Linked DNA regions of Arabidopsis thaliana. The protein of the gene in region 1 interacts with the protein of each later gene in a biochemical or structural test. Each region holds a gene or a part of one and is shown on either strand. Other genes may lie near its edges.

Region 1 (11,800 bases):
CTCTCTTGAAACTATGAATTGCTCTTCATCATCATCTCTGCTTGAACATTCCTTGACTATATAACCTTTTCAGTGATCGAATCCTAGAGCCTATGTCAAAACTATCCAACCTCAAGGATCTCGACCAATCTTTTCAGAAAAAAATTGAACAACTAAAGTTCGATTAGTTTTCATATCGTATTGTAAATCTAGTATATAAAACAACTAAAATGCTAAATTTACTTAACGATTAGAAAACAGATTGAACTTGTGAAATCGCTAACGATCAAATGACTAGGTCAAATGACGGGATCCAAAATCCGGTTAGTTTTCATATCGTTTTGTAAATCTAGTCTAAAAAACACAAAAACAAAAATGCTAAATTTACTTAACGATTAGAAGACAAGTTGAACTTGTGAAATCGCTAACGATCAAATGACTAGGTCAAATGACGGGATCCAAAGTCCGGTTAGTTTTCATATCATTTTGTAAATCTAGTTTAAAACAAAACAGAAAAAGACTAAAAACTAAAGCGCTAAATTCACATAACGATCGGAAACAAGTTGAACTTGTGAAATCGCTAACGATCAATGACTAAGTCAAGTGACATGATCCAAAGTCCGGTTAGTTTTCCTATCGTTTCGTAAATCTAGTCTAAAACAAAACAGAATAAAAAAAAGACTGAAAAACTAAAGTGCTAAATTCACATAATGATCAGAAAACAAGTTGAACTTGTGAAATCGCTAACGATCAATGACTAAGTCAAGTGACAGGATCCAAAGTCCAGTTAGTTTTCTATCGTTTTGTAAATCTAGTCTAAAACAAAACAAAAAAAAAAGACTAAAACACTAAAGTGCTAAATTCACATAACGATCTGAAAACAAGTTGAACTTGTGAAATCGCTAACGATCAATGACTAAGTCAAGTGACAGGATTCAAAGTCCGGTTAGTTTTCCTATCGTTTTGTAAATCTAGTCTAAAACAAAACAAAAAAAAAGACTAAAAAACTAAAGTGCTAAATTCAAATAACGATCTGAAAACAAGTTGAACTTGTGAAATCGCTAACGATCAATGACTAAATCAAGTGACGGGATCCAAAATCCGGTTAGTTTTCATATCGTTTTGTAAATCTAGTAGAAAATTAAAAAAAAAAAAAAAAAAAAAACTTGTCTAAAAATAAGAAGTGAAAATTTAAAAACGTAATAAGGAAACTCACCTGAAATCGTATTGGAATTTGATGTAACGTGGACTCTTTTCCTGATCTGATACCTCTCCAAGTCGTCTTCTCTCAGTAATCTCACGAATCTTCACCGTAGTCCTTTGTTCTCTATACTCAAAGCAAATTCCAAAATAGCCCTTGTATGACATCATCCAAAATAGCCGTTGTGTGACATCATCACAAAATAACCGTTGTATGACATCATCATAAATAATCTCCGACGAAGAAAATTCCTCCATCTCGTTGTAAATTTCAGGTCATGTTCTTTCAAATTCCGGCCACAACTTCATCACCGTAACGTTGAATCTCTTATAATCCCAGATTCACCTTTAAACACCTCCTTGCCATCTCTAATGATCGACTAAAACTTGGTCGGAGAAAAATAAAATCAGACCCGCAGAAGAGATACGAACGAACGAACTCACCGAATAATTCTCAAAGCGAGAATGAGATTCATAACGGCTCTTCGATATAACTTGCTCAAGAAGAAACTCAAGTTTTTAAAAGCAGAAGAAGAAGAAATAGCACTTTAGGGTTTTGCTCTTCGGAGGTTGAGAACTTTGATCCTTAAGATGAGATTAGTATAGTATTTATAACGACGGTTATCACCGGAAAAAAGGAAATTTAACTTTGATAAAGAATTTTAAAAATAAAATAAAAAGGAAATTCTGAGAACGCAAAAAAAGGAAGAGAATATTACACTCTAAGACACTTTTCTCAAACAATTTCCGAGATACGACACTTTCAAAATACAAGGCACTTCTAATATAAAAATTGTCCATTTTACCCTCAAACCAATTTCGGTTTAATTCTCTAATTTTAATTTCTATACGAAAATCAATTTGTAAGAAACCTCTCTTTCTCACCCAATCCCTCACGACGACTTTACAATTTCTGTTTGTTTCCCTTTTCTAATAGATGGTTCATGCTTCTCTTTGGCGATTTCGCTTTCAAATAATCCATTGGCATCTTCGTAATTGTTGCTTTCTCACTTCTCAATGTCAATACACATCGATTTCTCCTCCCAATACCGTTTCAATTTCCTCGTACTACTCTCTTACGACTGACAATGATCAATCCTTCTTCCATTACTTCCACCATCTTCTTCGATTATGCGTGACGGCTCAACAATGCAGGTAAGTGCATGCCCAAATAATTTTATCCGATTTCATCTTCTGTTCTGGGTCATTAGCTGCGAATCTCATATTTGTTTACTTTCGGTGAGGACTCGTCCTCGATGCCTGTAACGTCTTTGAGATTGTTTCTCTTGTTTTGTTGTCGGATTTGCATTTGTGGAATAATGGTCAAAGAAAAATGAACGATGATGTACTTTGAATTGGCGTTTGAATTGGTGATTATTGTTCATGTATAAACTTGTGTATTGAAATGAAACAACCCCGTAAGTCATTAGATGACCACATGGACTAGACCGCTTGGACAGTCATCAATGGACACCTGTGTCTTTGATTTGCTTTAAATATGTTTTATTGGTCGGTAAAATTACCATTTTTTGTATGAGTTTAGTGTTTGTTTTTACGGTTTCAGATTTAGTGGAGAAAGATCATGGGTTGAGGGTTTGAGTTTAATTTTAGGGTAAGTAAATTAGGATTTAGTGCAAACCGTTAAGGGTAGAGGGTTTACACACTTGTATGAACCATTTTTGAATATAATCATAAGAATATCACCATATGAATGATTCTATATTTTACATCTCTTAGATTGAAATGTCTTAGCTGCACAAACAGATACACGAAAGATGAGTAACACCAAATCTAAACATTGTTCACCAAAATCAAATACAAGAACACTTCATTAGTTGGAGAACATATATTCAAAGAGTAATGGACGGATTCCTATAGCTGACAGTCCGCAAGTACGTGTTCATATATGATATTAAGAAGTAGAGATGTATCCATGTAACATCGACCAAATGGATATAGTGTAAAACATGACTGTGTATCCACCTAGCATCGAACAAATGGATAAACATTAACTTTGGTGTATAATGGATATGCTTAGTAAACAAGATTCCGTATGAACACATTTGAAATGGACACATTATTATGGATCTGTAAGAATAACAAATGCAGAGAAAAGAATACGTGAAAGAAAGCATGTTAATAAGATTTTGGGTTTTAGTTGGTATGGTTTTGTCTTTATATGAAAGCATGTTTGATGGGTCTCGTTCTTTTGTGTAAGTAATGTATTGTTATTGTGGATACTCTGTTGAATAAGAAAAAGACGCATGATTTGTTTTGACTAAGTTGTGATTCTTGCATCATCATGACACTCTTTTTCATTCGATAAAAAATTGATGAACGCTCTACATATGAATCATTTGTGTTCAAGTGTTTGTCATGTTTCACCATTACTCCACATGTTAAAGTTTAATTGGACAAGTTATAATGGATACAAACTATCATTAACTAATTGGATTTTGAGTGTTGCTATTTGAAAGCAATGTCTACATATTGTTCTTGGGGCTTGGAGACCTATAGGATTATTAGTTTATACATAATGAAATCGTGTTGGATGCTTTGATAGTTTGTGTCCATGAAAACTTGTCCAACAAGATGTGACCATGTGGAAATGATGTATTCTCATGTGCGAAGTAAAGTGCTCTTAGCTTAGAGGTTCAACGAGACATCAATTTATCAAACTAGAATCAAATGGTACCAAACAAGCTGATCATATGGATATGAAATTCAATACTGGAATTTGCTAATCTGGTGCTCCATGGAATAGAACAGAGTAACGAGGACCTCGCTTCTCCGTAACCCCGTAATATCGAGGTTACTCCGAACAATTTTTGTTCTCACGGAATCTCTTCCATGTACGCTGCCATTTCTTCTTCTTTTTCGGGAGAGAGTTCAAATTCTCAGGTGGAATTTCAAAATCCAAATTAAGTAAGTCGAGTAACGTCCCACGTTACGTTATCACCGCCTCTCTCGTCGCCTTCTTGCTACAGATCTGAAACAAAGGAGAGTAAGGAAAGAGGAACTTTCGATCTGCAACCGATCTCATCGTCTTCACAAGCACAATTTCGCTAATATGAATCAGATATTTACACAATCTAACAAAACTCTAAATTCTATTCGTAGAATTGAAGAATCATCGCAAAACCTGGATCGATTGGTTGTAAGATTGAGGGAACAAAAATTTTCTTCTTTCACCTCTAGATGTTATTGTCTGATACACTCAAGCTTCCGTCGTTAGTCACAAGCGCTGCCGCTCCGAAACCAATCGAATAAGCCTAATCGTCACTTAAATCTAGAGAGGCTTCTCTGTAAAGGGAAATATAGAAGCTACACGATTTTGACAAAGTCTCTCATGTTTGATTTTGCAAGGAAAGACTGAAAGATGAAGAAAGAGATAGATAAAGAAAGAAAAGAAGAGTCGATGAAGAAAAAAGAAGTAGACGATGAAGAAGACGAAGAAAAAAAGTACAAATAGAGAAAGAATATTCATTATACTTTTTTGAGTAATTAAATTATATATATAATCTGATAATAGTTACAACTTCCATCCAACGACCCACTCATCATATACCAACTTCCAAACGCTAAAGTATTTTCGTTTTCACTTTTAGGGGCAAATTTGTCATAAATTCGATGAAAAAGTTGAAAAAATGCCTCATCTCTGCAAAGTGCCTCAAATGGAATAAAATTTTCTAAAAGTGCCTAAACTTGTCACATTCCTAAAAAGGAAATCACTCAGTATTTGAGCACGTGAGTGTCACGTGCTTACAAGTTTATTATTTTCCGTCGCCTCAAATTTTATTATTTTCGCTTCGCCGACGTATTTCTCTCTCTTCCGTCTAGTCTAGCTCTCCGATCATGTGGGTGACGAATACCGTACTTCTATATCGACCCAATTCTATGAACCGATTAACCTTTTCTTACCCGACCCGACTCGCCCACTCTCGTAAAGCCTCTTCCTTTTCCCGTTTCTTTCGGTCTTCAAAGAGGAAGAAGCGGGTTACGACATTGTCGACGAAGAAACCAGGTTCAGCTTTCTCACCTCCATTGACTTACCAATCTCTTTGCCAATGTTTATCTGTTTGAAATATTCTAACTTTATTCAAAATTTTAACAGATGACGATCACGAGATATCGCCAGTTCCGCCGGAGAAATTCTCCGCTGATTTGGGATGGTTATCGGCTTTTCCTCATGTATCAGTTGCTTCTATGGCCAATTTTCTCTTTGGTTATCACATTGGGTAATAATATAGCCAATTCACTGTTGCCAAATTTGTGAAGTAACAGTCGTTGTTGTTTGTTTCACTGGCCTAGTTTGATTTCTATACCAGAAGATTAATCTCTGTTCGTGTAGTAGTGTTAATGCTTGGTTGTGTTACAGAATTCGAAAAAAAGTTTCATTTTGACATTGCTGGTGAGAAACAGCTTCAATTTGAGCTTACAAAGATGTTGATTAGATTGTTTTTACAGAGTGTTGATTTGTCCCCGTCTTGACAATTTGTTAGCTTCCAGTGAGAAGAATATGAGTTAGTCAGGTTGATCTGGATTAGTTTTTCGAAAGCTTAGTACTTATAATACTATCAGTTTGTTCTTGCAGAGTGATGAATGGCCCCATCGTGTCTATTGCGCGTGAACTTGGGTTTGAAGGCAATTCTATTCTTGAGGGTCTTGTTGTGAGCATATTTATTGCCGGTGCATTTATTGGTAGCATAGTCGCCGGTCCACTAGTTGACAAGTTTGGCTACCGACGCACCTTTCAGATTTTCACGATACCCCTCATTCTTGGTGCCCTTGTGAGGTAATATCTTGTTACTAAGGTGAATCTTGATTTCGTTATGTTAGTAACAATTCCATGATGATGTTTTAAGTTGTGAGGTAGCAGCATAACTAAATTTTACTTTTTCTCTCAGTGCACAAGCTCACTCCTTGGATGAGATCTTATGTGGAAGATTTCTTGTTGGTCTTGGTATTGGCGTCAACACAGTTCTTGTTCCAATATATATATCCGAGGTAATCTAATATGTGATTCCTTTTCAACTTCATGTTTTAACTATTTGGCTTCTTCTGCTGTAAGATCTAGGACATTTCTTAAAATTGATCCTATGTACTCTCAGACTCTCAGTACAATAAGTTGTGGTTTAGCATTCTTTTGCTTAGCATATTTTGCATTTCATATGTTCGGCTGAAGAGTCTTGTTACTTCTGATATTAAGCCAACCATTTTTATTCTATAGGTTGCTCCGACGAAATACAGAGGTTCCCTTGGAACTTTATGTCAAATTGGCACTTGTCTCGGGATAATCTTTTCTCTTCTCTTAGGGATTCCTGCAGAAGATGACCCTCATTGGTGAGCTTCATTTAGCTATCTATACATTTCACTCTTCACTTCATTCTCCTCATGTATACTACTGTTCAGGTGGAGGACAATGCTCTATGTAGCGAGTATGCCTGGTTTTCTTCTTGCACTTGGTATGCAATTTGCAGTAGAAAGTCCCCGTTGGCTCTGTAAGGTATAAGTCGCCTCTTTTAATCATGAGGAAGCATTGATTTTCCATGTTGAAATCGTGTCTCATGATACTTGTTTAGGTTGGACGACTTGATGATGCCAAAGTAGTGATAAGAAACATCTGGGGAGGATCTGAAGTCGAGAAAGCTGTAGAAGATTTTCAGTCGGTTATGAAGAATAGTGGCTCCAACTTAAATAGCAGATGGCTGGAACTCCTTGATAAACCACATTCACGAGGTCATGTTAAGGTTGCTTTTAATGTTAGTTCTAACTTCTAAGGGTGTTATATTATACCATAAATCAGAAACTGAAAACATTCAAGTTTAAGAATAACCTTTTCCAGGACTTTGATCTAAGAAACTGAGAATATATAACTTCATACATGAAAAATCTATGTAGCTAAATTGTATGTCTTGTTGATATAATGGTTGCAGTTGCATTCATTGGGGGCTCCCTTTTTGTCCTACAGCAATTCGCGGGCATAAATGGCGTTCTTTATTTCTCATCTTTAACATTCCAAAATGTTGGAATCACGAGTGGTGCTCAAGCAAGTCTATATGTTGGAGTCACAAATTTTGCAGGTTCTCAAGTCTCACCTATATCAACTTTAAATTTAGATGATTGTTTTTTTCTACTGTTTCCATCACAATGTCCCTTTTCTGAACTGTTGGGTCTAATAGGTGCTCTGTGTGCGTCTTATTTGATTGATAAGCAAGGAAGAAAGAAGCTTCTTATCGGTAGCTACTTGGGAATGGTAAATATCTTTTTCTTTTATCACATAAACTCTTTTGCTTTTCACTGCTTTAGCTTATTTTGATTGAATTGATTTGGTGTCACAGGCAGTCTCTATGTTTCTTATTGTTTATGCTGTTGGTTTCCCCTTGGATGAAGATCTGAGCCAGAGTTTGTCAATACTTGGAACACTCATGTAAGTAGCTTGAAGTCCAGCAATTACTAGTCTCCTTTTCTCAGCTCATATAGTACCCAAAAAAAGACAGAAACGTATCATATGTTTGGTCCTGTTACAGGTATATATTCAGTTTTGCAATTGGAGCTGGTCCTGTAACAGGTCTCATCATCCCTGAGCTAAGCAGCAACAGAACGCGTGGAAAAATCATGGGTTTCAGCTTCTCTGTACATTGGGTATGTGTTTTTTTAGTTTTCCCATAAATCATTTTATAACCTTTTGAAGTTTGAAGAATGACGAAGCAAATGTTCTTCAGGTCTCCAACTTCTTGGTTGGTTTGTTCTTCCTGGATCTGGTGGAGAAATACGGGGTTGGAACGGTCTATGCCAGCTTTGGCTCAGTATCATTGTTGGCAGCGGCATTCTCACACCTCTTCACGGTGGAAACAAAGGGTCGATCACTAGAAGAGATCGAACTGTCTTTGAACTCCAGAGACGACCTGAGTTAAAAAAAAAAACGGTATAAGTGAAAGAAAGAGAGAAAGACCTCAAAATTTTTATCAGTTTTTCATCAGTTGTTGTAAAATGTAAATAGCCTGGAAATTAGCTTGTGAGAAATCTTGTGAGTATATAGATATACTTAGGTATGTAAGAAAAGATTTATAAAAAATGCGAAAGAAAGTTGACAAGGATTACACAAAATACATACTTATGAAAGGTTTGTGCCTATTTACAAGTGGTAAGACGTTCTTGATTTATAGCTTAATGTAGTAACATTGTCTCGATCTAGACTATACATGCTTACCATGTCATGGTGAAAATCGTGAGTCCATAACTCATGATCTCTATATATTCATATTCATATATAATACTGGTTTGCACGTCTGCAAACAAAGATAAAGATTTCTGATAATATTAAATTTATCCCAAGAATATTGAATATAAAGATGCTAGCTGGTTCTCTGAAAAAAAAAAGCGTACACAGCTTGTCATTGAATTTATAACCTATACGAATATGAGGCTCGTAGAAACAACTCTTAAGGAATTGTGAGAGAATGTTACTTTTAGCCGATCAAAAAATTTGTAACATAAATACACTGACAAGATATTTGTATTATAATAAGTTTTCGAAATTTGAACACAATTCTATGCATCATGCTTTTTCTTCTAACAAGAAGAAGAATTTAAACACAATTATATATTTAACGCGCCAAAATCGCGTGTGAAGTCTCTCTATTAGTCAACGCTATATCTTGAAAGGGTCTCGAGACTCTCCAGCCATTTTATTCTGCCTTCCTCTCTATATTTAGAAGAACAAAAATTGAAAAAAAAATCCTTAGAGAGAGGAAAAAAATTTAGAGGAAAATCTTCTAATTTGGTTTTAATTCTTCGTGATTAATCGCTAATCCAGAGTGATTAAGAAATTAAAACCCCTTGAGGAACAAAGAAGACGTTTGGGTGAAATTAAAAGCGCGACGACGAGGACAATGCCGAGCAAGCTTAAAAAAGCGATTGGTGCGGTTAAAGATCAGACAAGCATTAGCCTCGCCAAAGTTGCTAACGGAGCCACCGGAGGCGGCGATCTCACGACTCTCGAAGTTGCGATCTTGAAAGCTACGAGCCACGACGAGGAAGTCCCAATCGACGATCGACTCGTAACAGAAATCCTCGGAATCATATCCTCCAAGAAATCTCACGCCGCCTCTTGCGCCGCCGCGATCGGTCGCCGTATCGGGCGTACACGGAATTGGATCGTCGCGCTCAAATCCCTAGTCCTCGTCCTCAGGATTTTCCAAGACGGTGATCCTTATTTCCCTCGCGAAGTCCTCCACGCCATGAAACGTGGCGCCAAAATCCTCAATCTCTCCAGCTTCCGCGACGATTCGAACTCGTGCCCTTGGGATTTCACTGCTTTCGTCCGTACATTCGCGCTTTACCTCGACGAACGTCTCGATTGCTTCCTCACCGGAAAATTACAGAGACGGTACACAAACCGAGAACAAACCGGAAGAATCAGCACCAACTCAACAACAAGATCCCGGTTTAATCCCAAAGCCGGAATTAAATCCCACGAACCGGCGGTTCGAGATATGAAACCGGTAATGCTTCTTGACAAAATCACGTATTGGCAAAAATTACTAGACAGAGCAATCGCGACGCGGCCGACGGGAGACGCGAAAGCCAACAGGCTCGTGAAAATGTCGCTTTACGCCGTCATGCAAGAGAGTTTTGATCTTTACAGAGACATTTCCGATGGATTAGCGCTTTTGTTAGACAGTTTCTTCCATCTGCAATACCAATCTTGCATCAATGCGTTTCAAGCTTGTGTTCGAGCTTCGAAACAGTTCGAAGAGCTTAACGCATTCTACGATCTTTCCAAATCGATCGGTATAGGAAGAACATCGGAGTATCCTAGCATTCAAAAGATCTCTTTAGAGCTTCTTGAGACATTGCAAGAGTTTTTAAAAGATCAATCGTCGTTTCCAGCGAGCTCAGGGTTGTATCCGTCACCGAATAGTTTTCTTCCTCCGCCTCCATCGTCCAAAGATTCAGCGGTTTCAAGCTCGCTTGATTTTGGGGATTCCACGATTGATACGTCGGAGAGGTATTCAGATTACGGGTCGTTTCGTAGTACTTCGTTGGAGGATTTGATGAGCAGGACTGAAGCAGGGACTAGTAGTCCTCCAATGTCTTGTCATTCTGAGCCATACGGAGGAGGACGAGATGATCCTAATGGGAATAATTTTGATACGGTTTCGACTAAATCGCTTCCCAATAATCCCTCTGTTTCTGCTTCCAATCTCATATTAGACCTATTGTCATTGGATGACGTAAGTAACACGGCAGAAGCAGAAGATGTTGAAGACAAGAAGAAGCAAGACGATTCAAAGGCAGAGACTTTCGATCCTTGGGAGGCGTTGATGTTGAGAGATGATCCGAAGAAGAAGATAGAAACGATTGAGGAGGAACCTTCAACCGCTGAGGACCATCAGAGAGATTCAGGGAATTGGTTGCTTGCGTTAGAAGAAACTGCTACGCAGGTGCAGGGTAATAACTCGATGGCGATAGTACCGTTCGGGTTAGATGATCCGATGCCTGCGTTTCAAGCCGCCACGGACCAATACAACCCATTCTTGGAAGAACCAGTTGCGCAGTTAGCTACAGCCGGAGAACCAATGATCACGTTCGGTGGCTTGGCTTTGACAGGGTTTCAGCCAGAACCGACATTTCAGGTGAACGTTCCTGATGATTTTGAGCCGTCTTCTACACCAACATTTAAGGCCACGGAGACTTTGCCTATGAAATGTGACCCGTTTACAACATTTGAGAGTTTTGGGTTCGGAGAGACATTTTCAGAAAATGGAGGGGTAAATCAGCAATCTGTATTGCAAGAACAGCAGATATGGTTGCAGAACCAGAAAAAGATCATAGCCAAGCACTTGAGTTGATACAAAATTTATTTGGCTAGACAGAGGTTGAGATGTTTCTTTGAGTTTTTCTTTTGTTACATTGTCAACTTAACTCTTAACTCATTTTTCCATAACTTAGAGAAATGTGAAATTCAGAAATTCTTTGATTAAAAAGATATTTCCGCGGATTCTATCTTCGTACTTGCATTCCTGTGTATACACGATGTATTTTGTGTGTCTTGTATCATAATCACATTGAGAATTTGATTTTCAAGTATATCTCAACGAATAACACTCAAATATCTAAGTTCACCTTCTGAATACATTTACGTACACGGTACACTTTGGGATTTACTTTTGAATATGTTATTTTCTTTGAAGTTTTTGGGAATTGAAATTTAGCTAGCATTTTGATCATCGTGATGATGTTATGTAGCATTTAGTTTATGTATTTTTGAAAATATTTATGTATTCATTTTTAGTCTATATTAATATAACAAGTTTTCACATAATCACACAACAGATGCATGCATCTAATGTGTGTGTATTAGATGAATGTATCCGATATGCGTATTAGATGCGTATATCTGGCAAACAATTTTTTGCATTTTATTTTCCGATATGCATGTATTTATGTGTTATGATATGCATCCGTGATAATGCGAATGATAAAATGAATGTATATCGGTGGAAGATAACGAAGAGGGAAGCCAAATGGAATAAATTAAGGAGGTCCACTAGTAGGTCAAGTTGGCTTTGTGGTGTCGATAACATGAGATTGACCAAAGCTGTAGCTTGACCCC
Region 2 (11,962 bases), on another chromosome or scaffold:
CCTTCAGTTGATCGACAAGGCTGGGGATTTTGTTAGCGATGACATTTGGTTTCGTGTGGTTCAGTTTGTAACAAATAATGAAGACCTGCAGGTTCTTAAAATTGTTAGGATAAATATATTGTTTATCCTATTTATGACATTCAAAAGTTGCTTACAAATTTCTTTGATCCGACAGCCTTATGCGGCATCAAAAGCAAGAGAATATATGGACAAAATTGCAATCCATGAGACCATGGTGAAGGTTGTACAGTCTCGCTTCCCATAACAAATTTTCTTTTAATTATAATATAATTAAATTGTGGAAGTGGAGTTACTACCTTGCTACACATTCTGATTTATCCATATTGTTGGCAAAGTACAATATTAACAGTGCTTAGTATCAACAATAAATATAATTTCTTTCGGAATTTCAGGTCAGTGCTTATATTTTGGGGGAGTATGGTCACCTTTTAGCTAGACAACCTGGATGCAGTGCAAGTGAACTCTTTAGCATCTTACATGAGAAGCTTCCTACAGTATCGTAAGGACAACACAAATGTTGAATTGCGCTCTTCTTGTCTTTGGGTATGTCTTAATTGCTTTTTTTCGTTTTTTTTCTCAGGACTCCCACCATTCCTATTCTTCTTTCTACATATGCAAAGCTTCTTATGCACGCTCAACCCCCGGATCCAGAACTGCAAAAAAAAGTTTGGGCTGTATTTAAGAAGTGAGACTTGCTAACTTTGTTGTCCTTCCTCAATGTTTTGCTTGTCATCATATGTACTGTCTTTTTTGGTAACCAAATGAAGTTTCCTAAATGAGTTTTGTTTTCGCAGATATGAGAGTTGTATCGATGTGGAGATACAACAGAGGGCAGTTGAATATTTTGAATTGAGTAAAAAAGGGCCTGCCTTTATGGATGTATTGGCTGAGATGCCAAAATTTCCGGAGCGCCAGGTTTGTGAAATTATTTTATGATTCTATGAAAGTTACTTTGACGGGAAGTTTGTGCTAAACGACTTTGATGCTGGATTTTTTTTCCGTGTCTCTTCCATAGTCTTCATTGATTAAAAAGGCAGAAAACGTTGAAGATACCGCAGACCAGAGTGCCATCAAACTTAGAGCACAACAACAGCCTTCAAATGCTATTGTTTTGGCTGACCCACAGCCTGTTAATGGGGCACCACCACCTTTGAAGGTTCCAATTTTAAGTGGAAGCACGGTGAGTACTTCTCTTTCTAGGCCCCAATTGACAAAACATTTTTGATGTGCTTGCCTTTATATACTACATACTTCTATCTTATTATCTCTGACAGTCTGTTTTTCATTGCATGTCTAGCAGGACCCTGAGTCAGTGGCTCGATCTCTCTCACATCCCAATGGAACTTTAAGTAATATAGATCCACAAACTCCATCACCTGATCTCCTTAGTGACCTACTCGGTCCTCTTGCAATAGAGGCTCCACCTGGAGCTGTCTCATATGAACAACATGGTCCCGTAGGGGCAGAAGGAGTTCCAGATGAAATTGATGGTTCCGCCATTGTACCTGTTGAAGAGCAAACAAATACAGTGGAGGTAATCTTTTCTTATTCCTTTGCTTTCTTTGGCATAGTAGGTGTTAGCATTATACTTCTACTTTTGCTAGCTCATTATTTCCCTAGTTTTTTTTTTAACTATAGCCATATTTTTTTCTGTTTCGTCTTTTTGTATTTATTACTTGGAAATGGTATGTAACGTTTACTTAGGTGGAATGCTACCTGAGATGTTCTGTTTCACAATTCAAGATCCATAATAAAAGAAACCGAGCCATTTTTGTACTCCATAATATATTTGCATGCTTGTATTTTTTTCTTATACTGTTTTGTTTTCTTATACAGCTTATCGGAAATATTGCTGAGAGATTTCATGCTTTATGTTTGAAAGACAGTGGTGTCTTATACGAGGATCCTCATATCCAGGTTTGTTTTTTTCTAGTTTCTGCTTTTATTTATTCAAGTATGCAGCAGACAAGCCTCCGAGCTTTCTTATGTTCCCATTTTGTTGATTGTTTGTATTCCTCAGATTGGCATCAAAGCTGAATGGAGAGGACACCATGGGAGACTTGTTCTCTTCATGGGAAACAAGAATACTTCTCCACTTACATCAGTTCAAGCTCTGATACTACCCCCTGCCCACTTAAGACTGGATCTGTCTCCAGTACCTGATACAATTCCTCCTCGAGCACAGGTACTTTTGTTTGTTGATTTATTTAAGTTTGACTACTCAATCCGTCATTTTCTACTCATTTATGCATAATGTACTAAGTGTTGCAATTTTTTTCATGGTTATAGGTACAATCTCCGCTTGAAGTGATGAACATCCGCCCTAGTAGGGATGTTGCAGTTTTGGATTTCTCCTACAAGTTTGGTACAAACGTGGTACGTACTGCAACAGTACTTAGCTTGTTTTGGTGAATGGTATATTTAGTATCTGTGACTCTACCTGATATGCTGGATCTTTTATAGGTCAGTGCCAAATTACGCATCCCGGCAACCTTGAATAAGTTTCTTCAACCTCTACAATTGACATCTGAAGAGTTCTTCCCTCAATGGAGAGCAATCTCAGGGCCACCCTTGAAACTTCAGGAAGTGGTATGTATCTCCACAGCTTCTCTGATCAAATATCAAACTAAAAGTATTTGAGTAGCGCAGGATAGTAGTCAAAGGCTTCTAAGAATTTTCTTTTCAATGAAATTAGTGAATTAGCTTTCGCTACAACACTTATAGAGAACTTCCAACACTTCTACACATGCTCGTTAATGCAGCATTACTTTTATGCGTTATATAATCTGATACTGCAATCTCTTTCAGGTAAGAGGTGTAAGACCTCTAGCTCTTCCGGAAATGGCAAATCTGTTCAACAGTTTTCATGTGACGATATGCCCTGGGCTTGTAAGTAGTTGTTTACGATCTCAAACCTTCATTCCTCATGCACACATGTATACTTCAAACTTAACTTGTATTGTTTTTTGTCGTAGGATCCAAACCCTAATAATCTAGTGGCAAGCACAACCTTCTACTCTGAAACTACAGGAGCCATGCTCTGTTTGGTGAGATTTCACCAAGTTTCACTTCCTGGTTTTGGCACTTGCCACTCCAATTTCTAAAATTTCTTAAGACTTATAGTAATGACGTGTGACATTTTCCTTGGTTTGCGATTTTCAGGCAAGAATTGAAACAGACCCAGCGGACAGAACCCAACTACGATTGACAGTAGGCTCGGGAGATCCTACCCTTACATTTGAGTATGATATATCTGCCTCTTAATCACAAACCCAACCTCGATCACAGATTTTCTTCATTTGCAATTGTTGACCCCTTTTATCTACAGGTTAAAAGAATTCATCAAGGAACAATTAATTACTATTCCAATGGGATCTCGAGCTCTAGTTCCAGCAGCAGGTCCAGCACCATCACCAGCAGTTCAACCGCCTAGCCCAGCGGCTTTAGCTGATGATCCAGGAGCTATGCTTGCTGGCTTACTTTAAATTCATTGGGATAAAAGATTACTTGCACATGTCGAAAAGTTTGTTTTCTGTTATTGTAGAATGTAATGGCGAAAATATGGAATGATGGGAGAGTAAATGTAGAGCCAAGGGAGAGAAAAAAGCTAGTTTTGATTATATTTGTGCCGTTTATCCAAAGCGGGCGGGTTGCGTTAGGTAAGAAATTTTGCATTCATTCTGAACATTTGTATTGTGAGGTCAGTGGTTGTATCAGCTTGTTCTTGTGCCTATATATTTTCAATCTGTTTCTCCATGAGTTTTCTGATGGGAGGTCTGTTTTTTCGCACCAGCCTTCACATTGAGAGATTTTAATGTTGTCATAAAGGGGGGAAATTGCAAAAACACATCCAACGCATAGCATTTCACCTGTAAAAACCTGATCTAATTTGAGGTGTGAATAGAGTGGGGACTTGGCCTTGGTGGGACATTCAACCGACATATATACAACCAGATTTTTACTATTACTTTGAAGAATATAATTGAAAGAAAATTTTTTTTTTACTATTTTTAATTTTCTTACAAACTGCTTATGGATTTAAAAGCTGTTTTATCAATTTTTGCATGATTTTTTTTTGTTTTTACTACATAATTTGTAATTGACAAAAGTATGATTTTTTTATATTACTATATCATTTGTAATTTTGCAAATAAAAAAAAATATAAGAACCCTAGATCCGGGGCTTGTGAAACAAGAGTGATTAAGCAAAATTTGAGTAAGTCTGACTTTTGCAAGTTTGCTTCACCAACATCAATGTCGCTCAAGTTGAAGAAGCAACTTCTCTTAAAGTATCGAATACCCTAAAATTTGTCATGCCTTGAAGAAAAACTCAACCGAGATATTGGAGCTGTTCGAAATACCTAAGAAATCAGCCGATGTTGCTAACGCAAAGGGACAATATCTTCCATAAAACTAAAAATGTTCAATAAGCAGGGCCGACCCAAATCTAAAGCCCAGCAAGCTGATGCTTTATCATCACAATCATATAAAAGCCTTGTAGTTTAATGGTTGGTGCTTCCATTAGTTATATAAGTTTACGAGTTCGATACTCAAACTGCCAAACAACAACATCCTAGGAGCATACGCTATCGCCGTCACTGCTTTTCTAGCTCAACAATTCGTCCTATTCATCGTCTTGTAGATTATGATCTTGTTATGAGACACATTTAGTATTTCAAAAACGAGAGTAGTGACAATACTTTCCTATTCACCAGAGTAATTTGGTTGCAATGATTCTAGCAAAATTGTTATCTGAAATATAGAGTATCTAAAATCTTTATTCAAAAGATTTCATAATACATTGAGTAAAATTATAAAATGCTCATAACAAAAAATAATCAAATCAGCACTGCGTATAAACCATTTGTTTCGTTCCCACTAATACCAACAAATACCATGTCTGACGAAAAAAAAAAAAAAAAAGTTGGGACCAGCTAAACCATTGCATGACCTGACCTGACCCGAATTCATAACCGGATTTTCTCATGGTACATTTTTTTTGTTAAGGATTTTCTCATGGTACATTGAATTACAACTGAATGCATTGACCGCGACAGAAAACAGTCATTTTAAAAATAAATGAAAAAGTGAAACCAGAAACAGCAGTAAATAAATATTACCCAAAAAGGCAGAAGGATACACTTTTTAACAAAATATTACGCAAACTTATAAATCCTCAAATTTAGTCCAAATGTCTAGACGCGTTAATTCTGTTTTTCGACGGGTCAATTTCGGATTCCAATTTCAAAACAGACAAAAACTGAATTACACAAAATTGAATAGTCAAAGTTGTAAATAAAGAAAAATAAAAGTCGTCTCTCGTCTCTCTCCCGCAGGCGTGTCTCTCTTCTCCAAAGATCAGTCTCTCCTTTTGAATTTCTTCGATTGAAGGTGCCATTTTCCGTTTCTAGATTGGGATTTCGATCTCACCTCTCTCGAATTGCTTATGCTTCAGCTTTAGTCTGTGGTTTATCTCGTAGTTAGATCCGGTGCCGCGAGTTTGGATCTGCGCCGTGTGAGGCGGCGGAGCACGGTGGATTTGAGGATTTGGTTCAACCATGACCGGAATGAGAGGTCTCTCCGTATTTATCAGCGACGTTCGTAATTGCCAGAACAAGGAAGCGGAGAGACTACGAGTTGATAAGGAGCTCGGAAACATTCGTACATGCTTCAAGAATGAGAAGGTTACTCTCAATTCTCTCCATTCTATTTTCTATGTTTTGATTCTCATTAGAGAGGTAATTCAGTGTCGAGTATCCGCTGAGGTTTTGGTTTATTAGAGATATTGGAGATTTATCCTTCGCAGTTGCAATGCCAATGCAATCGAATGTTAGAGCTATTAGGTTGATTAGGGAGTTAGATAAGAATGTAGATGAAACAAAGATACAGTCACTGGTCACATGCCGAGTGGATAGTTTTGGAGCTTGTAGTTTCTTACTTTATCGGATTGAGGCAATAAATTTTGATTTAACACCAATTGTGAAAATAGATAGGCAGTATAATGTTGCCGTTGTATAGCTAGCTCAAATCCTTGTAGATTAGCAATTATTCTACCTTTTGAAACATCACTACTATTGCTTTCAACTTGGAATTTCATTACTGAATATATGATGACATTTAGGAACTAGAAGAAAAGAATGGTCTGGCAGTAAATTCGGTTATGTAGTGATGGTCTAAGAAATTAAATCATGGTCACGGAAAATTTTGAATAGCTCATTACGAAGTAGATTAAGCTTTGTTGCTGTAAGAACTTCTGGAGTGAAATTCTTGTTCCATCTTACACGTAGCAGAGCTGTAGCAGGCCTGTAGTGGATCCATGTGTTTCCAGTTGGACCAACATTAAACTTATTCTTTTTCGGGGTTCATGTTAGAAATGAATTAATCAAGAACTCTTTGATTACTTGACATTCTGTTTTATTTTTGCAGGTTTTGACACCATATAAAAAGAAGAAATATGTCTGGAAAATGCTTTATATACATATGCTAGGCTACGATGTGGATTTTGGCCATATGGAGGCGGTTTCTCTTATATCTGCGCCAAAGTATCCAGAAAAGCAGGTAAACCAACGTTTTGTTTGCTCAAACAAAGAAATTTTTCTTTGTAAGGCTAGGAGAAGATAATAGATGGAGGTGTTTGCTGAAATATATTCTATTGATCAAGCTGAAACAAAGAAAGTTTCATTGAAGATCACACAGTTAGATCTAGATACCATTTCATGCGTTTGCAACTTGACTTGACCTGGGAAAGTATTGCAGACAATTACTTATAAGCACGAGTTACTTAGTAACATCTTAGAAACTCTTAACCAGAACCATGCATTGTATCTCAAGGGTTTGTATTTCCAATTTATATTGTTTCATGCTCCTTAACTAATTTGCAGGTATTGAACTTTTCATCCATGATTACAGGTTGGCTACATTGTTACATCTTGCTTGCTCAATGAGAACCATGACTTTTTGAAGTTGGCAATAAATACAGTGCGGAACGATATTATTGGTCGGAATGAGACTTTCCAGTGCCTAGCACTGACCTTGGTATGTGGTCTTTTGTCCACCCTGTATTGAGATTTTAGAGCATAGTTAGGTTCTTCTGATTATAAGATGTTGTTAAATGACTGTTTTAATGGAAGTCTTTGGTACATTATGTCTTTTGTGCTCTATCATTTCACGATTCAGAGCCACTTACTTCATGAAACTGGTCCTTTCTTTCTAGCTTTCTTACCTTGCCATGCTTACGTTCTCCTGTAGGTTGGAAATATCGGTGGAAGGGATTTTGCTGAATCATTGGCACCTGATGTTCAAAAGCTACTTGTAAGTGACTCCTAAAGATGAGAGGTTATATTTTTTTCCAATATTACTAAACATATTATGTTATGGGGTCTCTTTGCTGCAGATTTCTAGTAGTTGCAGACCTCTTGTAAGGAAAAAAGCAGCACTGTGCCTACTGCGCTTATTCCGAAAAAATCCTGATGCTGTCAACGTGGATGGCTGGTGTGTATAACACTGTGGGGTTACTGGTTCTTTGATTTTACTAGTGCATCTTTCATATTCTCTTTGTCGTATACTTCCAGGGCGGATCGTATGGCACAACTTTTGGATGAACGAGATCTTGGTGTCTTGACGTCTTCTACGAGTCTTCTTGTAGCTCTGGTATCTAATAATCATGAGGCGTACTCAAGTTGTCTACCTAAATGTGTCAAAATATTAGAACGCCTTGCTAGGAACCAAGATGTTCCTCAGGAGTACACATACTATGGCATCCCATCTCCTTGGCTCCAGGTTTGACTTAACTCGGCTTATTCACTCTTGTTTAATAGCTTAAATATTCTTTAATCGCATCCTTTTCACAAATCCTGTGCATTTTAAACATTTTATGTGAAATTAGCTTATGAAAATAGAGGCTTGGCCCAGCTTTGGTGTATTTTTGTTACTCAGTTAAAGATATCGTGGATACTTATATATCTTTGGTTAGTACAGGTTAAGGCAATGAGGGCTCTTCAATATTTCCCGACCATTGAAGATCCCAGTACCAGAAAAGCTCTGTTTGAGGTTCAATATTTTCATGTGTAAATCTGTAATATATGTCTTTGAATTTCCTCTCATGGCATGGCATTTCATGGAAATTTCAGGTCCTTCAGCGAATATTGATGGGGACAGATGTTGTGAAAAATGTGAATAAAAACAATGCGTCTCATGCTGTGCTGTTTGAAGCTCTATCCCTGGTAAGTTCGTCGGATAGCTGGGGAAATGTTGATACCATGAATTTTACTAGTGGGCACCTATTTTTCTCTCTCTTCCCCTTCACCCCTGCTCAACGTCCTGTAAAGACGCATTTACTCAAAGCAGACTACTGATGTGTGCATGGACGTTTAAAATATATTTTTTGGCTTTGCTAGAGAAACTTCAAGTGTTTGAATTGCTTGCAGCTAATTGTACGATATTCTTTGTCTGTTGTTTTTCTTGTGTGAAAGTAAAATAAATTTAGATGCTCTGCTTGAAGGTTTCGCCACTATTTCTAAGAGGTTTATCATGGATAGTTGACTTAATTGTTCCTAACAGTTCTCTGGCTTAGTGTGCAACCTCCTAACTTTTTAATGTGTTTTGATATAGGTCATGCATCTTGATGCTGAGAAGGAAATGATGTCACAGTGTGTTGCTCTTCTTGGCAAGTTTATTTCTGTCCGTGAGCCCAACATCAGATATCTAGGCTTGGTGAGATCTTGCATACCACTTCCTGCATCTAAGCCTAGCTGGAGTAGTTTGTGAAGTGGTTGGTGGTTTCTCATGATGCATTTTTTGACAAAATTACAGGAAAATATGACGCGGATGCTGATGGTCACAGATGTTCAAGATATCATAAAGAAGCATCAGTCTCAGATAATCACCTCCTTGAAAGACCCTGACATCAGGTTGGTTTAGATTTGCCATCTAAGCATCAGCTTTTCTGGCTTGTGAACCCGGATCAGTATCTCGTTACTGTTCTAATTTGGAACCAGTACGACAGTTTTTCAATCATCAAATCGGTCTTACTTCTTATGATTTAATATACCGTTTTTTACTTTGTCTCTATAGTAGTTGTGAATAAGATTATTTCTGTCAGCATTAAAATTATTTGATTTGGGTAGTATATATGAAATTTTAAGAAAATGGGATCTATATTTTTTAGTGAAACATTATTTGTTGATTTGTTTTCTTGTGATAAGCTATAGGTATAATTATATGTGGTATACGGTCACATAAGAAATATTATATTATTATATTATTGGCCGGTGGGTCAGCACTATTTCGATGACGTTTGTTAGTAAAAGATGGATAAGTACCACAGTCCATTATGTCTTGATCTTATTTCCATTGCAAATGGTGGCTTCCGTTTTACAAACATATAGTTTGATTTATCATCTCTTGGTTCTTTTGCTTATGGTGTCAGATTCACTATTGGTTGAACTTTCCTGCAGTATTCGTAGGCGTGCTCTTGATTTATTATATGGGATGTGTGATGTGTCAAATGCAAAGGATATAGTCGAAGAGTTGCTGCAGGTAAGTCTTTGACCTTACTTTATATTAATATTTCTTGATTTTTAGTCTCCTTATGATTTGTGAAGTTTAACAGAAAGGAAGGATTAAGTTGTGTAGTGTTTAAGCTTACATGGAAGCTAAAAATATATTGCAGTATCTTAGCACAGCAGAGTTTTCCATGCGGGAAGAATTATCACTTAAAGCTGCTATCCTTGCTGAGAAGTTTGCTCCTGATCTATCATGGTGAGGATAACTCGATACGAAGTATATGTACACTTCATTCATGCACACAAATTTGGTTACAGTAACATGCATTATCCATTTGGTGTGACCTTTAGATCCTTGCAAATCAACTGGTTAAAGATGTTAATTTTGATGTTTTCAGGTATGTTGATGTGATCCTTCAGTTGATCGACAAGGCTGGGGATTTTGTTAGCGATGACATATGGTTTCGTGTGGTTCAGTTTGTAACAAATAATGAAGACCTGCAGGTTTATATAATTGTTAGGAAAAATATATTGTTTATCCTATTTATGACATTCAAAGTTGCTTACATATTTCTTTGACCTGACAGCCTTACGCCGCGTCAAAAGCAAGAGAATATTTGGACAAAATCGCAATACATGAGACTATGGTGAAGGTTGTACATTCTCGCTTCCCATAACAAATTCCTTATATTGCAGATAACACCTTAAGGAAGGTTTGTTTTTGTTTTACAGGTTAACTGTGGTGGTAAATTTTATCACTTGGCTGATTCTATTATTTTGAGCAAGGCTTCCTAAAGTCAGATCATTGGTCTCTCTCTCAAGTAACTTAGGTTTGAAAAAGCAGCTTCTCCAGTCAGCATCTTACCCTTCTCACTACTCAGCAAATCCACAAATAGAAACGAGTCGTTGCTTCGGAAGCCTTGTTCAAAATCAGAGTATCAGCCATGTGATAAAATTAACAACCAGAGTTAACATATAAAACTAAAACAATCCTTCCTTAAGTTGTTGTTGCTTAATTTGGGAATTTAGAGTTACTACCTTGCTACACATGCTGACAAAATCTTATCTGTATCTAAATTCTTTGCAAAATACAAATTAACAATGCTTATAATTTCTTTCGGAATTTCAGGTCAGTGCTTATATTTTGGGGGAGTATGGTCACCTTCTAGCTAGACAACCTGGATGCAGTGCAAGTGAACTCTTTAGCATCTTACATGAGAAGCTTCCTACAATATCGTAAGGACAACACAAATGTTGAATTGCGCTCTTCTCGTCTTTGGGTATGTCTTAATAGCTTTTTTTCGTTTTTTTTCTCAGGACTCCCACCATTCCTATTCTTCTTTCCACATATGCAAAGCTTCTTATGCACGCTCAACCCCCGGATCCAGAACTGCAAAAAAAAGTTTGGGCTGTATTTAAGAAGTGAGACTTGCTAACTTTGTTGTCCTTCCTCAATGTTTTGCTTGTCATCATATGTACTGTCTTTTTTGGTAACCAAATGAAGTTTCCTAAATGAGTTTTGTTTTCGCAGATATGAGAGTTGTATCGATGTGGAGATACAACAGAGGGCAGTTGAATATTTTGAATTGAGTAAAAAAGGGCCTGCCTTTATGGATGTATTGGCTGAGATGCCAAAATTTCCGGAGCGCCAGGTTTGTAAAATTATTTTATGATTCTATGAAAGTTACTTTGACGGGAAGTTTGTGCTAAACGACTTTGATGCTGGATTTTTTTTCCGTGTCTCTTCCATAGTCTTCATTGATTAAAAAGGCAGAAAACGTTGAAGATACCGCAGACCAGAGTGCCATCAAACTTAGAGCACAACAACAGCCTTCAAATGCTATGGTTTTGGCTGACCAACAGCCTGTTAATGGGGCACCACCACCTTTGAAGGTTCCAATTTTAAGTGGAAGCACGGTGAGTTCTTCTCTTTCTAGGCCCCAATTGACGAGACATCTTTGATGTGCTTGCCTTTATATAGTACATACTTCTATCTTATTATCTCTGACAGTCTGTTTTTCATTGCATGTCTAGCAGGACCCTGAGTCAGTGGCTCGATCTCTCTCACATCCCAATGGAACTTTAAGTAATATAGATCCACAAACTCCATCACCTGATCTCCTTAGTGACCTACTCGGTCCTCTTGCAATAGAGGCTCCACCTGGAGCTGTCTCAAATGAACAACATGGTCCCGTAGGGGCAGAAGGAGTTCCAGATGAAGTTGATGGTTCCGCCATTGTACCTGTTGAAGAGCAAACCAATACAGTGGAGGTAATCTTTTCCTATTCCTTTACTTTCTTTGGCATAGTAGGTTTTAGCATTATACTTCTACTTTTGCTAGCTCATTATTTCCCTTTTTTTTTTTTTACCTATAGCCATATTTTTTTCTGTTTCGTCTTTTTGTATCTATTAGTTGGAAATGGTATATAACGTTTACT

Evidence for each region.
Region 2: the proteins of AT1G05020 (region 1) and alpha-ADR form a complex in vitro, tested with the Arabidopsis thaliana proteins (one study listed by BioGRID).

The regions. Positions count from the first base shown.
Region 1 is NC_003070.9:1,434,620-1,446,419, reverse strand, and holds AT1G05020 (ENTH/ANTH/VHS superfamily protein), read left to right. Parts: upstream 1-8,656; 5' UTR 8,657-9,074; coding exon 9,075-11,036; 3' UTR 11,037-11,265; downstream 11,266-11,800. Other genes in the region: AT1G05035 (uncharacterized protein), read right to left, coding at 304-333, 588-633, 751-795, 1,196-1,437; AT1G05030 (Major facilitator superfamily protein), read left to right, coding at 5,035-5,203, 5,294-5,417, 5,774-5,974, 6,087-6,186, 6,410-6,522, 6,592-6,685, 6,762-6,918, 7,116-7,262 and 4 more. UniProt on the Arabidopsis thaliana protein: Adaptins are components of the adapter complexes which link clathrin to receptors in coated vesicles. Clathrin-associated protein complexes are believed to interact with the cytoplasmic tails of membrane proteins, leading to their selection and concentration.
Region 2 is NC_003076.8:7,581,644-7,593,605, reverse strand, and holds the start of alpha-ADR (alpha-adaptin), read left to right. Parts: upstream 1-5,283; 5' UTR 5,284-5,579; coding exon 5,580-5,705; intron 5,706-6,447; coding exon 6,448-6,579; intron 6,580-6,930; coding exon 6,931-7,056; intron 7,057-7,269; coding exon 7,270-7,332; intron 7,333-7,414; coding exon 7,415-7,512; intron 7,513-7,592; coding exon 7,593-7,800; intron 7,801-7,998; coding exon 7,999-8,070; intron 8,071-8,150; coding exon 8,151-8,243; intron 8,244-8,631; coding exon 8,632-8,733; intron 8,734-8,832; coding exon 8,833-8,930; intron 8,931-9,476; coding exon 9,477-9,558; intron 9,559-9,691; coding exon 9,692-9,780; intron 9,781-9,922; coding exon 9,923-10,028; intron 10,029-10,111; coding exon 10,112-10,177; intron 10,178-10,202; exon of another isoform or gene 10,203-10,551; intron 10,552-10,653; coding exon 10,654-10,760; intron 10,761-10,841; coding exon 10,842-10,946; intron 10,947-11,055; coding exon 11,056-11,176; intron 11,177-11,276; coding exon 11,277-11,441; intron 11,442-11,561; and 2 more. Other genes in the region: AT5G22780 (Adaptor protein complex AP-2, alpha subunit), read left to right, coding at 1-91, 176-241, 414-520, 602-706, 816-936, 1,037-1,201, 1,322-1,555, 1,858-1,938 and 7 more; AT5G22785 (uncharacterized protein), read right to left, coding at 3,762-3,890, 3,901-3,963. UniProt on the Arabidopsis thaliana protein: Subunit of the adaptor protein complex 2 (AP-2). Adaptor protein complexes function in protein transport via transport vesicles in different membrane traffic pathways.